Linked DNA regions of Schizosaccharomyces pombe. The protein of the gene in region 1 purifies or fractionates together with the protein of each later gene. This does not show direct contact. Each region holds a gene or a part of one and is shown on either strand. Other genes may lie near its edges.

Evidence for each region.
Region 2: the proteins of tdh1 (region 1) and win1 purify together in Schizosaccharomyces pombe (affinity purification with western blotting, with the first as the bait; one study listed by BioGRID). This does not show direct contact.
Region 3: the proteins of tdh1 (region 1) and mcs4 purify together in Schizosaccharomyces pombe (affinity purification with western blotting, with the first as the bait; 3 studies listed by BioGRID). This does not show direct contact.

Annotation. Positions count from the first base shown.
Region 1 is NC_003423.3:2,805,630-2,809,585, forward strand, and holds tdh1 (glyceraldehyde-3-phosphate dehydrogenase Tdh1), read left to right. Parts: upstream 1-1,965; 5' UTR 1,966-2,007; coding exon 2,008-3,018; 3' UTR 3,019-3,422; downstream 3,423-3,956.
Region 2 is NC_003424.3:5,087,754-5,095,418, forward strand, and holds win1 (MAP kinase kinase kinase Win1), read left to right. Parts: upstream 1-2,062; 5' UTR 2,063-2,687; coding exon 2,688-6,998; 3' UTR 6,999-7,095; downstream 7,096-7,665. Other genes in the region: Spg1-binding protein Etd1, read left to right, coding at 336-1,245, 1,308-1,573; rpl3002 (60S ribosomal protein eL30), read right to left, coding at 7,458-7,548. UniProt on the Schizosaccharomyces pombe protein: Involved in a signal transduction pathway that is activated by changes in the osmolarity of the extracellular environment. Activates the wis1 MAP kinase kinase by phosphorylation.
Region 3 is NC_003423.3:3,555,380-3,559,682, reverse strand, and holds mcs4 (response regulator Mcs4), read right to left. Parts: upstream 2,596-4,303; 5' UTR 2,410-2,595; coding exon 841-2,409; 3' UTR 546-840; downstream 1-545. Other genes in the region: tRNA pseudouridine synthase Pus2, read right to left, coding at 1-287; leucine-rich repeat protein Sog2, read left to right, coding at 4,201-4,303. UniProt on the Schizosaccharomyces pombe protein: Response regulator that coordinately controls the stress activated wak1-wis1-sty1 MAP kinase pathway and fission yeast cell cycle.

The DNA.
Region 1 (3,956 bases):
GTTATTACACTTTATACTATTATAGATATTCTATTATACAGGTTAAATAAGTAAAAGAGTAGATGGGTGGTGGTGGAATGGGAGTGTTGTAAGTAAAGCGATATTGCCAAGTACGTTTGGAGACTGGAGCAAGTGATGTATCCTGAAACTGTTTCATTATAATGCATATTTTATTTGTATTGTGTATATGTATATGTATGTGTATGTTTTGCTTTCCTATCAAAACGAAGAAGAGCGGATTTTCGAGGCAAGGCCAAGAAGCGCTTTGCCGATTACGTGACAATCGTACACTATGTTATTGATACAATTTTGCTTATGATGCACCATTATGCCTAGAAAAAAATAGAAGCGACGACGAAATGCCGACGATGTAAACGAAGTGTTTGACAACAGCCACCTTGTTAAGAAGGTAGAGAAAAGAGAGGAAACAGAGTGGGAGCGAGAGAGAAAAAAGAGGAAAAAAAGAGAATGGGCAAAACACCGAGTGTTAATAATGGAAAATGGAAAATGGGAATGTACAAGGTTAGAAGAAAGTTGGAAACAAAAAAGTTGAAAAAAAAAAGTTGGAAATGCAAGTAGATTGTGAGTTGAGTCAATGTTTATTACGAGTCGATACTCAGTTTGAATCGATGCTCATTTGAGTCCCTGCTCGTTCGTTGGTTTTGGGAATGAAATGGCAAGTCAAAAAATTACGCACAAGGAGAATATGAGATTCGTAACGAATGTCTCTTTTCGCTAAAAGACAAGAACTATGGTGGAGTAAATTCCTCAATTCACATCATGGAGCTTACGTGGAGCAATGCAGTGTATTAGTACGAGTGGTGCACTGTACGTCGACATGCCATGTTTGAGCAAGTCAATGCTAGCGTTGAAATTGCCTGTGGATTGCATTGCATGTATATGCCACACTGTTGGCGTAGCGTGAAATGATGATGAATGTTGATGAGATGACGGGAGAATTCAATTAGTAAGGATGTTTTGGCAGATGTGAGAAGGTTTGGACGCTGTAAAGTATGGAAAATCAAAATTCCTGAATTTTTGTAAACTCCCATACAAATACGATTACACATACATACAAAAATGCAAATAACAAAATATACACGCACGCATGCACACTAAATAAACAAACTGTGCGTCCATTCCTTTTATGCACAAACGTTGAAGCTCAGGACATCGCACCAACAATCACTCATCTCTTCTCTCTCTACCCACTTTCCACCCACACCCACAGTCTGCATCTGTTTGACGACTGTAGCTCAAGCATCAGTAGCAGCCGCTGTCATCCTCAACTGCTGCTGCTGATGCTGCTTGAATGTACGCATGATAGCAACGACGCACCGCTCTACCACTACTACCGAAGCGCCATCATCACCTCCTCACCTACCATCGCAATCGTCCTCTCGAAACTCTTCGACCGCTTTCACCCGGCTTCCTGCAGGTAACAATGCGCTCGGCGCTTGATTAAAAGAGGCCAGAGGCGATAAATGACTCAGGGTGCATTTGGCCTCGCTACGAAAGGACCCTGTCTTGTGATTTTTCCGTAGCCAATGGACAACCGCCTTGTCAACCTTTTGACTTTGGAATGTGCTAGCAATTCCTCCTTCCCCCTGACTTCAGGTGACAAGGCTTGCATCACGCTGAGGTAGGCGTCGGAAAAACTTTCCTCACAAGGCTGACGTCATGGAATGTGCAATCAAAGTCAGGAGCGGGAACGAGGCAGATTACCAACGAAGCAACGACCATCTCGGAACAACTTGCAAAGAAAGTCAAGGAAAGTTGGCACCACATCACGATCGCGCACCTTCTCCAATCACCTTGCTCCTTAGTTGTTCCGAATCGAGTGCGAGGCAATTGTGGTAAAGATAGTCGGGGGAAACCCTTACCCCATTCACACCACGGCTGATGGCTGCTGTGTGGGATGGAAAGGTATAAATAGAGGCAGGCGGTGCCTAGCATCGCTTCTGTATAGATCATTCATCCATAGTATTGATTTACACTTGATTCAAAATGGCAATTCCTAAGGTTGGTATTAACGGTTTCGGTCGTATTGGACGTATTGTCCTCCGTAACGCTTTGGTCGCTAAGACCATCCAAGTCGTTGCTATCAACGATCCTTTTATCGATCTTGAATACATGGCCTACATGTTCAAGTACGACTCTACCCACGGTCGCTTCGATGGCTCCGTCGAGATCAAGGATGGTAAGCTCGTCATTGATGGCAATGCCATCGATGTCCACAACGAGCGTGACCCCGCCGACATCAAGTGGTCTACCTCTGGTGCTGACTACGTTATCGAGTCCACCGGTGTCTTCACCACTCAAGAGACTGCCTCTGCTCACTTGAAGGGTGGTGCCAAGCGTGTCATCATCTCTGCTCCTTCCAAGGACGCCCCCATGTACGTTGTCGGTGTCAACGAGGAGAAGTTCAACCCCTCTGAGAAGGTTATCTCCAACGCTTCTTGCACCACCAACTGTTTGGCTCCCCTTGCCAAGGTCATCAACGACACCTTCGGTATCGAGGAGGGTCTCATGACCACTGTCCACGCTACCACTGCCACCCAAAAGACCGTTGACGGTCCCTCCAAGAAGGACTGGCGTGGTGGTCGTGGCGCCAGCGCCAACATCATCCCCTCCTCCACTGGTGCCGCCAAGGCCGTCGGTAAGGTTATTCCCGCTCTTAACGGTAAGCTTACCGGTATGGCTTTCCGTGTCCCTACCCCCGATGTTTCCGTTGTTGACTTGACCGTCAAGTTGGCCAAGCCTACCAACTACGAGGACATCAAGGCCGCCATCAAGGCTGCCTCTGAGGGCCCCATGAAGGGTGTGTTGGGTTACACCGAGGACGCTGTTGTCTCCACTGACTTCTGCGGTGACAACCACTCCTCCATCTTCGATGCCTCTGCCGGTATCCAACTTTCTCCTCAATTCGTCAAGCTCGTCTCTTGGTACGATAACGAATGGGGTTACTCCCGCCGTGTCGTTGACTTGGTTGCCTACACTGCCGCCAAGGACAACTAACTAGCTAATCATCCCGATGCTAAGAAACGTCGGGTGGGTGCTTAAAGGCAATGCAGGAAAGTCTTTTGGAGTTGTTTTCCCCGTTTTTTCTTTATGTTAGACAAAGGAGTCGTTGTCGTTTGCAGTGCGGGAGTTTTCTTTTTTAGATTTTCGCATTTTTTTTGTGGACGCGCACTCTATGTGAATAAATAGATGGATGACTTTTTTACAAATTTCCTCTGTTCTTTGATACCCTCCTTCTCATTCATTGTTGCATATATTTTTTTTAATTTTGTTGCAGTGATGAGATGGCTGAGCGTTTGTTTTTGAACTTATAAATACTTATAAATAAATTTTATGATTTTGATAAATACTTTTTTTCGTTTTGGTTTGTGATACGTATAGTTTGCCTGTCTCCTTTTGTAAATGATCTTCTTTTGTAGTCTTGTGTAATCTCTTTTTCATTTGGTCAACTTAAGTGAATTTTTTTTTGTCAGTTTCCTTGTAGGATATTATGTCAAAGTCTTATTTATACTATATATTATTGCTTTGGTGGTGAGTCGCATTTGTGGGGACGGTGTTACTTTACTGATGGATTTAGGTAGGAGGCATCCACTGTCCCCCATTTCGCTAGCTTAAGTTTAATATGAAGATGCACTTAAGCATGAACGCCCGTTTTGATCTTTTTCACTTGTACCGCGAAGAGCTTGTTTTACTGTTTTTCCGTCTGCATCCCGAGAACTAGTTGATCTCCCAATGCACACTTTAGACTTTATTCAAACCGAAGTCGGTTTTGTAATTTAAAAATTTTTACCCACTGTAAAGTACAAACAATTCATCGCTATGTTAGTTGTGTACGCTACTAGCGCATCACATGATTACATGTTAATCAACAAAAACGAAAATGTTTATTGTCAATCTAAAAATACATATGTCCGTTAAGACAAAAGTATGAGGCT
Region 2 (7,665 bases), on another chromosome or scaffold:
ATCTTTACAAAGCCCTATTTAACGTAACCACGATTAACGCGTTATAAAGTATTTATCAGAATTATATAGCGCTTAAACAACATAACGAATTGCGTTCTTTGATGTTATAGAACTTTGTATTTCCTTATAAATCATTTACAGATTCATGTTCAAAATTCGTTATGTCGTTCTCATGACGACCGTTTGTTTACTAACAAAAGCGTGGTCTTGACGAAAGTGCCTTCTACCATTATTTACACACTTGAATGGGTTGACGCGTACAGTCTTTTCTCTACGGCAATAATTCTTTCTTTAATTTAGCTTAAGAGAAATATAGATTTACGAGTATTTCGTCAATGGGAGTTGTATACGGCAGTCAACAAAATTTAAGTGAATATTTCTATTCTTCTGTCAATATGGCAGAGGTTCCAGATACTTTCGAAGAGAATAGGGGTCATTCTTTTGAAGGTGTGACTCTACAACGAAGGCATGTGAAAGGCATGAAAAGTTATGGTTCAGATATTACACCGAGGCGCCCTAAACAGCTTGGATTACCGAAAGAAGTTAACACCTCCGAATGCATAGATCAAGGCTCATGGAGGAAACCCTCAGCATTTGAAAGCTTAAGAAGTTACTCCCGAAAATTTTCTAAACGAATTTTTTCATTCATAGGAGTTGAGTCAAAAAGTACTGTACAACGCAACGCTTCAGGTGCAGACAGTACGTCGTTGTCTCACTTTACGGCGAATGAGATAAACAAAGGCAACTGTAAAAAAACTGCGTTAAGTAATGAATTTAATTCGGCCAATAAAGGGAGCAAGGCTAGTGGTGTAGGTGCTGAACTACCTTCAGTTAATGGATTTATTGAAGGTGAGCTTCATGATGATAATGAGACAGATTCCTTTCGGATAAATGAATTAGCTAAGCAAATCCAAGAAACTTCTTTGGGTGCGACTACGCAAGAAGATGAGAGTTCGGATGGTATTTGCTGGGACGAGTTATCGACTACTTCGCCAGAGTCGTCGAAAGTGTCGGAACCTATCATTCAAGACAATACGCAAACGACTCATATAAATAACGATTCATCGGATATTCGATTTTCATCTCGTTGCGATTTATTTGCGGACGATGCGGATTCAGATTGGGAGCAGGACTTTAATGTGAAATTCGATAGTCCATTGATAATTCCCGAAACGGTAAACAGTGCAGGACACACCGTTCGAGAACAGCTTTTTGAGGTGAAGGAATTTACGAGATCCATCAAAGGTAAGACATTCATGTGTTGTAATGCTTTAGTTTTAACCGCTGCTAACTAAAAACACAAATAGACTTAAAAGATCTTTACGAAAAGGCAAATTCCAAAGATATTTACGACAAGGACTCAGAGATTTTAGGAGAGGCTAAGGCTATTCTACGGTTAGCGGATCCTGCAAATTATTCTGATTTAAAGGATGAGGACGCGCAAAACATTTTATCAAAATATAAAGTTAAGTTGGAAGGGGATTCTTCATTAGATTTCGATGCGTCCATGCTACCAGGGCTAAACGATCATGTGCATTATTTAATGTCCCAACTCCAACTATTATTACACTGAGTTTCTCTTTTTGGCTATTTAATCCATTAATGGAATGGGAAGTATCTATTTTGTTATCCAAAGTGTCAAAATTTCGCTTAGGATAATTTCAATAATTGTGAGAACAGTTTCGCATTGGTGGATAGCAAGTAAAGGTGAAACTGGCCATTACAACCTTTTTATACTTCTGCATCTTAAGAAGCTTTTGGTTTTATTGTAAATTTCTTTCGTTTTCTCTTTTTAATAAATCTATTTTGCAATAATATTTCGGAAAAAGTACTAGACAGATGTTTTGTCTTTTGTGAATATTAGTCCAACCTTTATTCTGTGATAAAAAGATTTTATTAAATTAAAGTAAAAGAATGTAAATCAAAAATACCTGAAAACCCATATCTATGATTTTGCTATTTAGTGAGAAATTCCTCATTGCACTGAAAATCCTTAAAACTAGTACCCCACTTCATACTATACTACGGGGTTAGACCACAATTAGTTGTTTATCCTTTGCACACCGCAAACCTATAAATTTTCTTTTTGTCAATTCCACATATTCTACAAGGAGGATTGACTTTTTAGTTCACTGATTATTGCTCTTTCAACAATTTATACGCGGTAGTTTTACTGCTCTTCGGCTCGTATAATTTTTTTACACAACACTTTTATCGATTTTTTAAGCCGAATTTCTACATTTAATATTTTATCATTTTTTTCTGCTCATTAATATTTACCGTATCTTTTCGAAAACCCATTGCTTTGGATGTGTGTGTGTGTCTCTCTCTCTACGTTCCTCAATTTGACTGCATTACTTTAATATACTTACAACCTGAATTCTGTTCGGTTGGTAATTCCTGCAATCGTTATTTGTCTTTGTCAACTTCGGATTTTTTATTTTTACATATAACAGTAGTTGCATTGACTTCGCTGCACAATTCCTTACACTGAGTTGGCATTCCTTGCATCTGTAAACCACTTTTTCATTACCCACTCCCATTTTTGACTTCAGTAAACAATTATTCTACTACTACTTGCCACTATTCCAAACTTATCTGTTTCCCGTTTTGGGTTTAAATTTGGGTATAACGGTCTTTTTTATACATAACTTCTGAAGCAATTCGAAATTTGTTCCTCAACAAACATGGAAAATATTTTGGATCCTTCTGTGGTCAATTCACATATACTAGAAAATGGCTCAAGGCGATCTTCTATCAATCCAATTCTTGATAGTGAATTGCGTGATAAAACATTTGAAAAGGCTCATCGTCGCTCTTTGACTTTACTTTCAAGTTTTACCTCGTCTATGCTTGAACTTCCTAACAACGGAAAAGAAGAAAATCACAGAAGGCCATCTGTTGCGCGTAGCTCAAGTGATAGATCCAAGGCGAGCGCCAAAGAGGACTTATTTTCAGAAGCTTTCAGAATGGCTGAACAGCCTCCAGCCGAGGCCCTTACTATTTCTACCCCTGTTGACCCAATCAATATTGATGAATTAGATCGTGCTTATGCCGTAAGTCCAAGCGATACTAGTAATCTACTACATCCTCCTACTTCTTCCTCTTCCATTCCTATACCAATTAAGAATGCTGGTCATTCAAACCTCGATCATCCTATCCGACCTAGTCTGCAAAGTAGTATTAGCTCAAATAGGATAATAAAGTCTCCCGGTATTAAGGAAGACGATTATATGCACAGAGGACGTTCTATTTCGTCGCCAATGATTGATGTTGAACACATAAATTCAACAGCAGTTCCAAGCAAAACTAAAAATTTGCCAGAAAAGCCCAAGCGTTCTCACAAACTAAGAAATTCTATAACATTTGCTAAAATTGAAGATCATCCTGAGAGGAAATCTCAATTAAGACGACTGAGTAGTTCGTTAAAGTGTTTTGACCCAGAATATGATTATAACGATCCTTCTCTAAGCATTCGTCGTGATAGTTCAACTTATTACTTTTCTAATGTTAATGAAACTTATGATGAGGAGGACTCGGATTTAGATTCTGAGACTTCAACTGTAAATTGGGTACAATCTGTTCTGAATCTCCCATCCTTACTTTCTGATGATTTAATGGCTAACCCAAAAAACAAAGAACGTTTTGAATGGCAATATATGTTGACTTCAGTTCTGACTGGTGATATAGTCCGATCTGAAAAATTACGGCTAAGAAAGATTGCTTCTTCTCGAGAAGGGCGAAATAGTGATTATTCTGATAATTTGTGGATGGAAATATGGTGTTGGCTTACTCATCGTTCCGTTGATTCTTATAGAGAAAATTTAAAACATCTTCGTACGGGTATGGTTGATGTGCTACTGGCCATTATGAATTTTCATTGGGATGAGAGCAACGAATTAACCCCTATTGTTGCTGTCGATAACATGCTGCAAAAACTTGATAAATATGAACGTTTATATCCTTCACGTCGTTCTATCCTTCAGGAACATTCATTATATGCTTCAGAATCTTTTCAGCACAAGTTGGATGTCTTGACGGCTTATTCTAATGTCACTCATGCGCTAGAAATTCAAGTTAACATTATTCGCTCGTGGGTTGGTAATGAGGAAATGGACATTACCAAAAATACTACAAATTCTATTAATAACGTTTCTCAAATTTCAAACGGACCATTTGTGGAGCGCTTTTATAGAGAAACCGGTTTGATTCGAGCTTTTGAGCAAAGAATCATGACTAATATGAATAGCGTATTAAGCAAAGTTTGTAATACGATTGTTACATATGCGGATGATTTAAAAAGTTATGGCTTGCCGCTTATTGCTGATGATTACATGCGTCTTCTTTCTTTTCCGTTTAGGTTAATCAAAGAGTTCCTAAATCTTCGCTTATCATGTGCAGAAAATATTACCTCAATTTCTTTATTTACGATTGACTCTTTACTAGATGACCTTCGGAACACTATGAAAGTTGCCGTCCATATCATTCAACAACACACTGTTCTAATCAAACCTTTTCGTGATGATAGCAAATTTGTTGATGAAAACCAGTCCTTAAACAATATTTTAGTTGCCTCATTGAAATTTTACTTCAATTTATTACATCGTAAGGTTCGCAATGGCTGTGCCTTGCTGCATTTCAAAGAAACCGAAATTTTAGAAGGAGAATGGGATTTTCTGCTCGCTGTTTGTCCCCACATCGAACACGGATTCCAAATTATGTCTAAAAGTCTTTCTTCGCTGGTTGGTGAAATATTGACCAATATCAATAGGTATCTAAAAGATCAGCTGCAGGGGCCCGATACCGATGACTCTGCATTGATCACCTCATTTTATATCAAGGTGCTTGACTGTGTTAGAATTCGCTTCCGAAAATTGATGAGTTTTACTCGTATACTAAAAGCGCATTTGGAAAATTCTTGCGAGTACGTTATTAAAGAGAATTCATTATCCCTTTTAATACAACGCCTTGAAGAATCAAATCACGTTTTGACATATACGGCGAGTATCGAACATGAAGGAGCATACGTAATTGTTCCAGGACACCTAGTTGATTCCCCTAATATACTTCGTGAGGTACTTTCAATGACTTTTAATAAAGGAGATAATAATTTTGAAAGTGTACCTCCATATGCGGTTGTATTGGCTCCAGACAGCTCAATATGTTGGAACGGCCATGTTACAGATCTTGATATTCCGGAAGTGTCAATTTCCATTGCTCCTAACTGTGTCCGTTTAGTAACGTTAGCGACAGCTAATCAACTCTCTGTTATCGAAGATTATTTTATTAGTATAGTTGGTGACACAGTCTCACTTGTTGATTCTGCGAAAGCAAATTCATCCAAAATCAACAAACAAATGACCAAAATTAAACGAAATTCTTTGAAGTTGGCTTTGTCATTGCTTGATGTGATACAAACAATTCGTACAAGGTACCATGGCATGAATTGCCAAAATCTAATTCATTATTCTTTTTCTTACGCCATTGAATTTGCACAACGATTAATGAGGCTTTCGATCCTAGACGCATCTAGCATTGGGCTGATTCGTCGCAAAATGATACAGCTGGCGATCAGTTGGGTTGGATTCATCTATGAGGATTGTTCTCCTACCGATAGAAATACGTTTCGTTGGACTGTTACGGCTTTAGAATTCGCAATGATTATGACATACGGTTCGAACATTTTAATGATTGATAAAAAATCATTTGAAGAACTCAAAGAAAAGGTTGGAAAATGTGTGGCATTATTACTTTTGCACTTTGATGTTATGGGTACTAAACATGCTGGTCGTAGTATGGACCAACAAGCTGGAGATATACCAGCTCGCCTTGTTCGAAATAATTCCGACCGAAGTCGTTTATCGGATAATGAGTTGGCTTCCTTTGTCAAGGAGGAGGTTATGCATCGGATAATTGAACTAGAAAGTAATAGAAGGGACCGACTTTATAAGTCCCAGCTCATTGGACGTGTTTTGGATGATACGACAAAGGAGAACAGGCTATTGAAAGAGCTAGCCTCTTCGAAATCTAATATCACGATTCGATGGCAACAGGGTGGACTTATAGGTAGCGGTTCTTTCGGTACGGTTTATCGTGCTGTTAACTTGGATACAGGAGATTTAATGGCTGTTAAAGAAGTGGCATTGCATAAACCTCGTATATCTAGACCGATGATCAAGAGGATTAAAGGTGAAATGTTAGTACTTGAACTCTTTGATCATCCTAATGTCGTATCGTATTATGGTATCGAAGTGCATCGTGAAAAAGTTAATATATTTATGGAACTTTGTCAAGGCTCTTCGCTTTTCGAATTTCTACGTTACGGTAGAATTGAGGACGAATTGGTAATTCAAGTTTATGTCCTACAATTATTAGAAGGATTGGCTTACATACACTCCTGTGGTGTTTCACATCAAGATGTAAAGCCTGAGAATATCCTTTTTGATCACAACGGGATCATGAAATTTACAGATTTTGGTTCTGCCAAGATGTCGGGTTCTGCTTCAACTAAAATTTTTGAACAGTTAACACAACAAGAAGAGGAAGAGTTTGAAAAAGACTCGGAATTTTTGCAGCATCTAGACCAAAATCGCGGTTACTCCTTGACAGGAACACCTACGTATATGGCGCCAGAATTAATTCTTGGTAATCCGTCCGAAAGGGTTGGTGCTATGGATATTTGGTCACTTGGATGTGTTATTGTTGAAATGGCTACGGGTTCCCCACCTTGGCCTAGATTAGATAATCATTTTTCTTTGATGTATCACATTGCTGCACATAATCCTCCTATTATTCCTGCAGATGATCAGCTTTCGCCTTTGGGTCAAAATTTCCTCAAACGTTGTTTTGTTTCTGATCCCAATCAGCGCGCTACAGCTGCCGAATTATTAATGGATCCATGGGTGTATCCCTTACGGGCTGGTACGGAATTCGATCTTATGAACTCATCCGTAGTCGAATCAGCGCCTTCTACCAATGGTGCTCCGTTGGAACTTTAGATGTTTGCTATGTTTTACACCTTATGACTATTTTTTGGATACGGTTTTAATTTAATACTTAATTAATAGAGACGAGAAATATTATAAAGTCCTAAACACTTTGTAAGTTTTGTATTCGTAGCAATCTATGCGGTATTCATTAAATGAATCGTTATTGAATTAGTTGAGTGTAAAAGTGACTTTATCATAGAATCATTTTTACTACGGCGCTAGGAAGAGACGTTAATTAAATTACCTTGCTACAACAATCAAACGTAAATACAATGCATATATTGATGAGTTTCATTGTTACGCTAATATACAAGATAGATCAGCCTAATGCTGAATTTTTTACATTTGTTTAGATATGTCAAGCTAAAGAGTTCCTGGATTCTACCAGAAACTTGGAAATCCAATAAAAATAATCCGATTTATTTTATCTGCCATAACATTGATTTTAAAAATTTTAATAAGTTTTACCTAAGCAGCAAGAATGTCGGAATCGCCAGCATCAATAACTGCTAATACACCGACGCGAAATAATTTACCACATGCAGTTCCTAAATCAATACTTGAAAACAGTTAGTAAAACAAAATTCGACTCCCAATTAAGATCTCTGTCGAAATCAAAAAGGCTTCAAAAAGCTAGCCATTAAACAGTGTTTCTCAACATCAATTGCTATATTTT
Region 3 (4,303 bases), 750 kb from region 1:
GTTCTAGCTGCTCGCGCAATACACAAATGTTCAGCATCAATGTTATTTGTTTTTAAATAGCCCAATTTTTTAAGTACAGCTACAACATCTCCTTCAATTGTTTTAAGGGGATTATTTATTTGAATCCCATGGTAACCATAACCAGAATATCCCAATAAAATGATGATACGAACTTTGTTAGATTCTTTTGTGCCCTCGATTTTTTCTCGCTTTGGTAATTTTGGTGTTTCTAGATCCTCTGCGGGTATATGCTCCTGTTGATTTTTTCTTTTCGAGATAGAAGTCATTTTTTATAAAACAAATCTTCTAAAAAAATTTAAAGAAAAAAAAAACACCACAGTTTACTATTAATTACAAAAACGTATTAAAACAAAAGACACAGAAAATATTGGTGTTTAAGTGTGGTATGGACGCAATCAAGAATGATGCACACGAGATTGAAATACGCTCATTTTTTAGCGACATATTAAAAGTCTTTACAACTAAAATATTAGATACGAAAATAAGATATCCTACTTTATTATCTTTGTAGATGAATAACGAAATTTTGGAGTTTTAATGTACAACATAATATTAGGTAAATCAGAAAGTGTTTAGTTATAAGGATAACACAATTAGCAATAAGTATCTATGACAAGCTGATCCATTAATAATTAAGGCAGGTAATTAGGTAAAGGAAAAGAGGAAATTATTTTGCTAGCAAACCATAGCGTCCGACAAATTGATAACCAAAAGATTAATTTTATACAATAAAAGATTACGGAAATAAAATGAGCGGAGCTCGACTTATTGTGGTGAACAGAACAAAACACAGTGATACAAAATTTGGTAAGGCTAATATCATCGACCGCGAAAACGGCACCAACCATTCCAATCAATAAGCGCTTGCATACAGCCCCACTCCGTAATTTTTTTCTCTAGCCAAACTAAAGAGACAGGCTTTGTAAGAAAATCATTGCAACCAGCAGCTAAAGCCTCGTTTCGATCAGCCATTAGGCTAGAAGCAGTAAGTGCCACTATAATCACAGGAGATTGAAATTTGTTTTCATTTAGCTGATCCTTTTCAGGTATCGGTTGTGTCAATTTTGGAGCACCAACTCCAATTGCGTTTAACCGCTCAAGTCTCCTAATTTCTTGGGTGACTTCAATACCGGACATCGTGGGAAGTTGGATGTCCATTAGAATCAAGTGAAAAGATTTCTTTTTCCACTTCTCGAGTGCTTCAAGCCCATCTTTAGCAACCTCCGAGGAAATATTGCGCTTCTTCATAAAAGTCTCTAGGATTTTTTGATTAATAATATTATCTTCAACAATCAAAACGTTAATTGGAGGAATCACTCCTTCAAGTAGACTAGCAAAAGGTGCTTTCGCACCTATGCCGGGACTTGTTAGAACATTGACTGGTGAAGTACCAACAATTCCATCTATTTGATTAGAAGGAAATCCTAAATGGGCTTGTGTATCAGCATTTAAGGGATCTTTGTTGTCTGCTATAGGAAATTGAGAACTGATATCAGGGTTCATCCTATTTGCTGCGTCAATATCAGCATTAACCGCGGGAAGGACTCCTGCGGTACCAGATTGTTTCGTATAAAGCGATGAATGACTAATACTTCTACTATTAGTGGGTGTCGCGACTTCGGCTTTCGCCAATTTTTCAGCTGTTGATTCATCAGACCGAGTCGACATTCCAATAGAATTTTTTCTAGTAATGGATTCGGCTTCGTCTGATGGTTGCGACTTGTCAGCTGAAGTTAGATCTGGTAAAGAGGGTCTTGAAGCCAATGTTTGCTGTCTAGAAGAACGAGGCAAAAGTAGTACGCCAGTTTTATTTACATTAGAGGAAGGAAGAGTTTGATGGGACCTAGTTCGGGATGCATTTCGTAAATTATAATTTAAAGGACCTCCTTTATAAGAATAAGTACTTTGATGTCGTGAAGGGGCAGAAACCGGGCTCTCAAGTGAATCAAGAGCAATGGATGGCTGTTTGATACGCGGGACTGTTTCGTTCGCTGGGGTAGGGATTATGTTAGGTGGGTATTCAGAAAAAACGGGAGGTGTTGATTCAAATGTAGAGGATGAGAGTTGAGAAGAGCGATATCTTAAGGCAACTGAGGTATCCGGCGACGCTACTAGAAGCGCGTCGTTAAAATCCTGACCATGAGGATAATAAGTTTCCATGACAAATAATATGCTTTCGTTGGGACTGAGTTCTCTAGATTGCAACTCCGATGATGCATTTGGTGGAGCTACTACACGAATCGAAAGCTCAGGTGCATCATAATACTGACTGATACGAATAGGGAATTTCCGAGCGATGGCATCTTTTAAATCGTCAACCAGATGATCTTCAGACAATATAACGGAGGAAGTAATCCCATCTGGAACTTTTTTAAACCAAATGCGCATCTTCTATATATCTTCTTTCTTTTGACTTAACCTCAACTTTCCTATATACAGTATGAACAACCAAAACAGCCGCCTGTTTTTACGTTTAACATTCGATAGCTTCTTGTATAATCCCCTTCTATTTTAAATTTAATAGAAATATACAAGTATAAAATCACTGTTCGTGATAAGGAATGAGTAAGGTATGGTTCACGATACAATACGGCAAGCCTACTTAAGGTGTTGAGTTTCGTTACCTAGTCGTGCAACAAGCGCTGGGGATTTAGTAGAGTACTTAGAGTAACACCTTCCATCTGAGGACAAAAATCGAATAAATTTTAACACGTGAAAATAATAGGCACAGCTAAAACTGCGATTGTAAATTATACATTCTACGATACGAGCAAATAAGTATTCGTTTAAAAGGGATACTGTTGTGTTATTGACTTACTATTAGAATTCGACATTACTAAAATTTAACTAATTGAGTAATTGTTTCTGAAATTTATTCCTTATTTTAGATTTTATTTAAAGTATGTAGTTTAAAAAAAAAAAAAATTAAACGTTATACCCATACTTAGTTGGCTACCATTAATGGTCCTATTACTACTTGTCAGGTTTGGATATTTAATGACTCAGATTAAATGATTTAATCAACACAAACCAATATTTTTGAAATTCAAAAATAATGAGGCTTCAATTTCTCAATGAGAAACCAAAAAAAATTATTTTAGATAGTAACCCATTTAGTCATAGAAAAAAAAACCGTGTTTGATTATATGTACAATTTATCAACTCATTTATTTTTATCAGGTTCTTAAATCATAATGATAAACCTAGGCGATTCTATTAGGAAGCAATATATTAAGGACTAATAAAATAAACAATAAATATTAATGATTAGGAAATCAAACGCACCAAGATAATCAAATTGATAAACAAACTATAGATAAATGACAGAAATATTGAATCAACAAAATTGCAACTCATTCAAAAAGTTATCAATTTACACTTAAAGAATTATTTACCACAAAACATACTGTAGCGTTAGCATTTGTTGCTCCTGTTAATAACGACTTCTGATCTCGATGAACTCAAAAAGTTCGAACCAACATAATATAGCGAGTGCTTTTGATCATTCAAGAATTAGAAATGAATGCTAACAATACTACATTACAATTACGAATTACTATATGTCACATGTTCTGATTACCTATCGTCTTACAAATGATAACAATACGATGTAGATCCACTAATAAATTTTTTAATTTATTAGCTAGAAATGATAGATGTAAAATCAAAGGAACAACGTTCTTTAGTTCAGCTGTGGTGGTTTGTTTAGAGATAAATTACATTACCGCCTTCATACAAGGATATCCGTAACCCCCGTTATCATACAACCATATGTACCGCTATGTAGTGCACATACGAAAATCAAGTAGTCTAACATATCATTAATGATAATTACGAACTGCATAGCTAAAAAAAATAAAACGCAATATCAAACTTAACGAAAATATTTTGTGTAAACGTTAATAAACTGTAATTATTTTAAGGAAAAGTGCTTATTCACGTTGTTAAAATAAAAAAGTACAACCTACAGATGCGTACACAGAAAGAAGTGAGTTTATTCGTTCCGCGAACTAGCTTGGCAGTAAATTTTGGGGAATTGACTTTTGTACATTATAGCATACCATTGTGGATCAATTTTATGTTCATTGCATTTTTTTAGTAATTATTACTTCTTAGAGTTCCTTTTTTTTTCAACAAAACCTTCGGATTTACGTCTGAGGTGATCGATCTTTTCATGCTATGTCTGCTCATGAGGTGTCCTCCACAAAAAACTCAGAAATTGAAAGAATTATTAAAGAGGCAGAAGATGCGGGTCCTGAAAATGCACTTACGTTAGATCTAT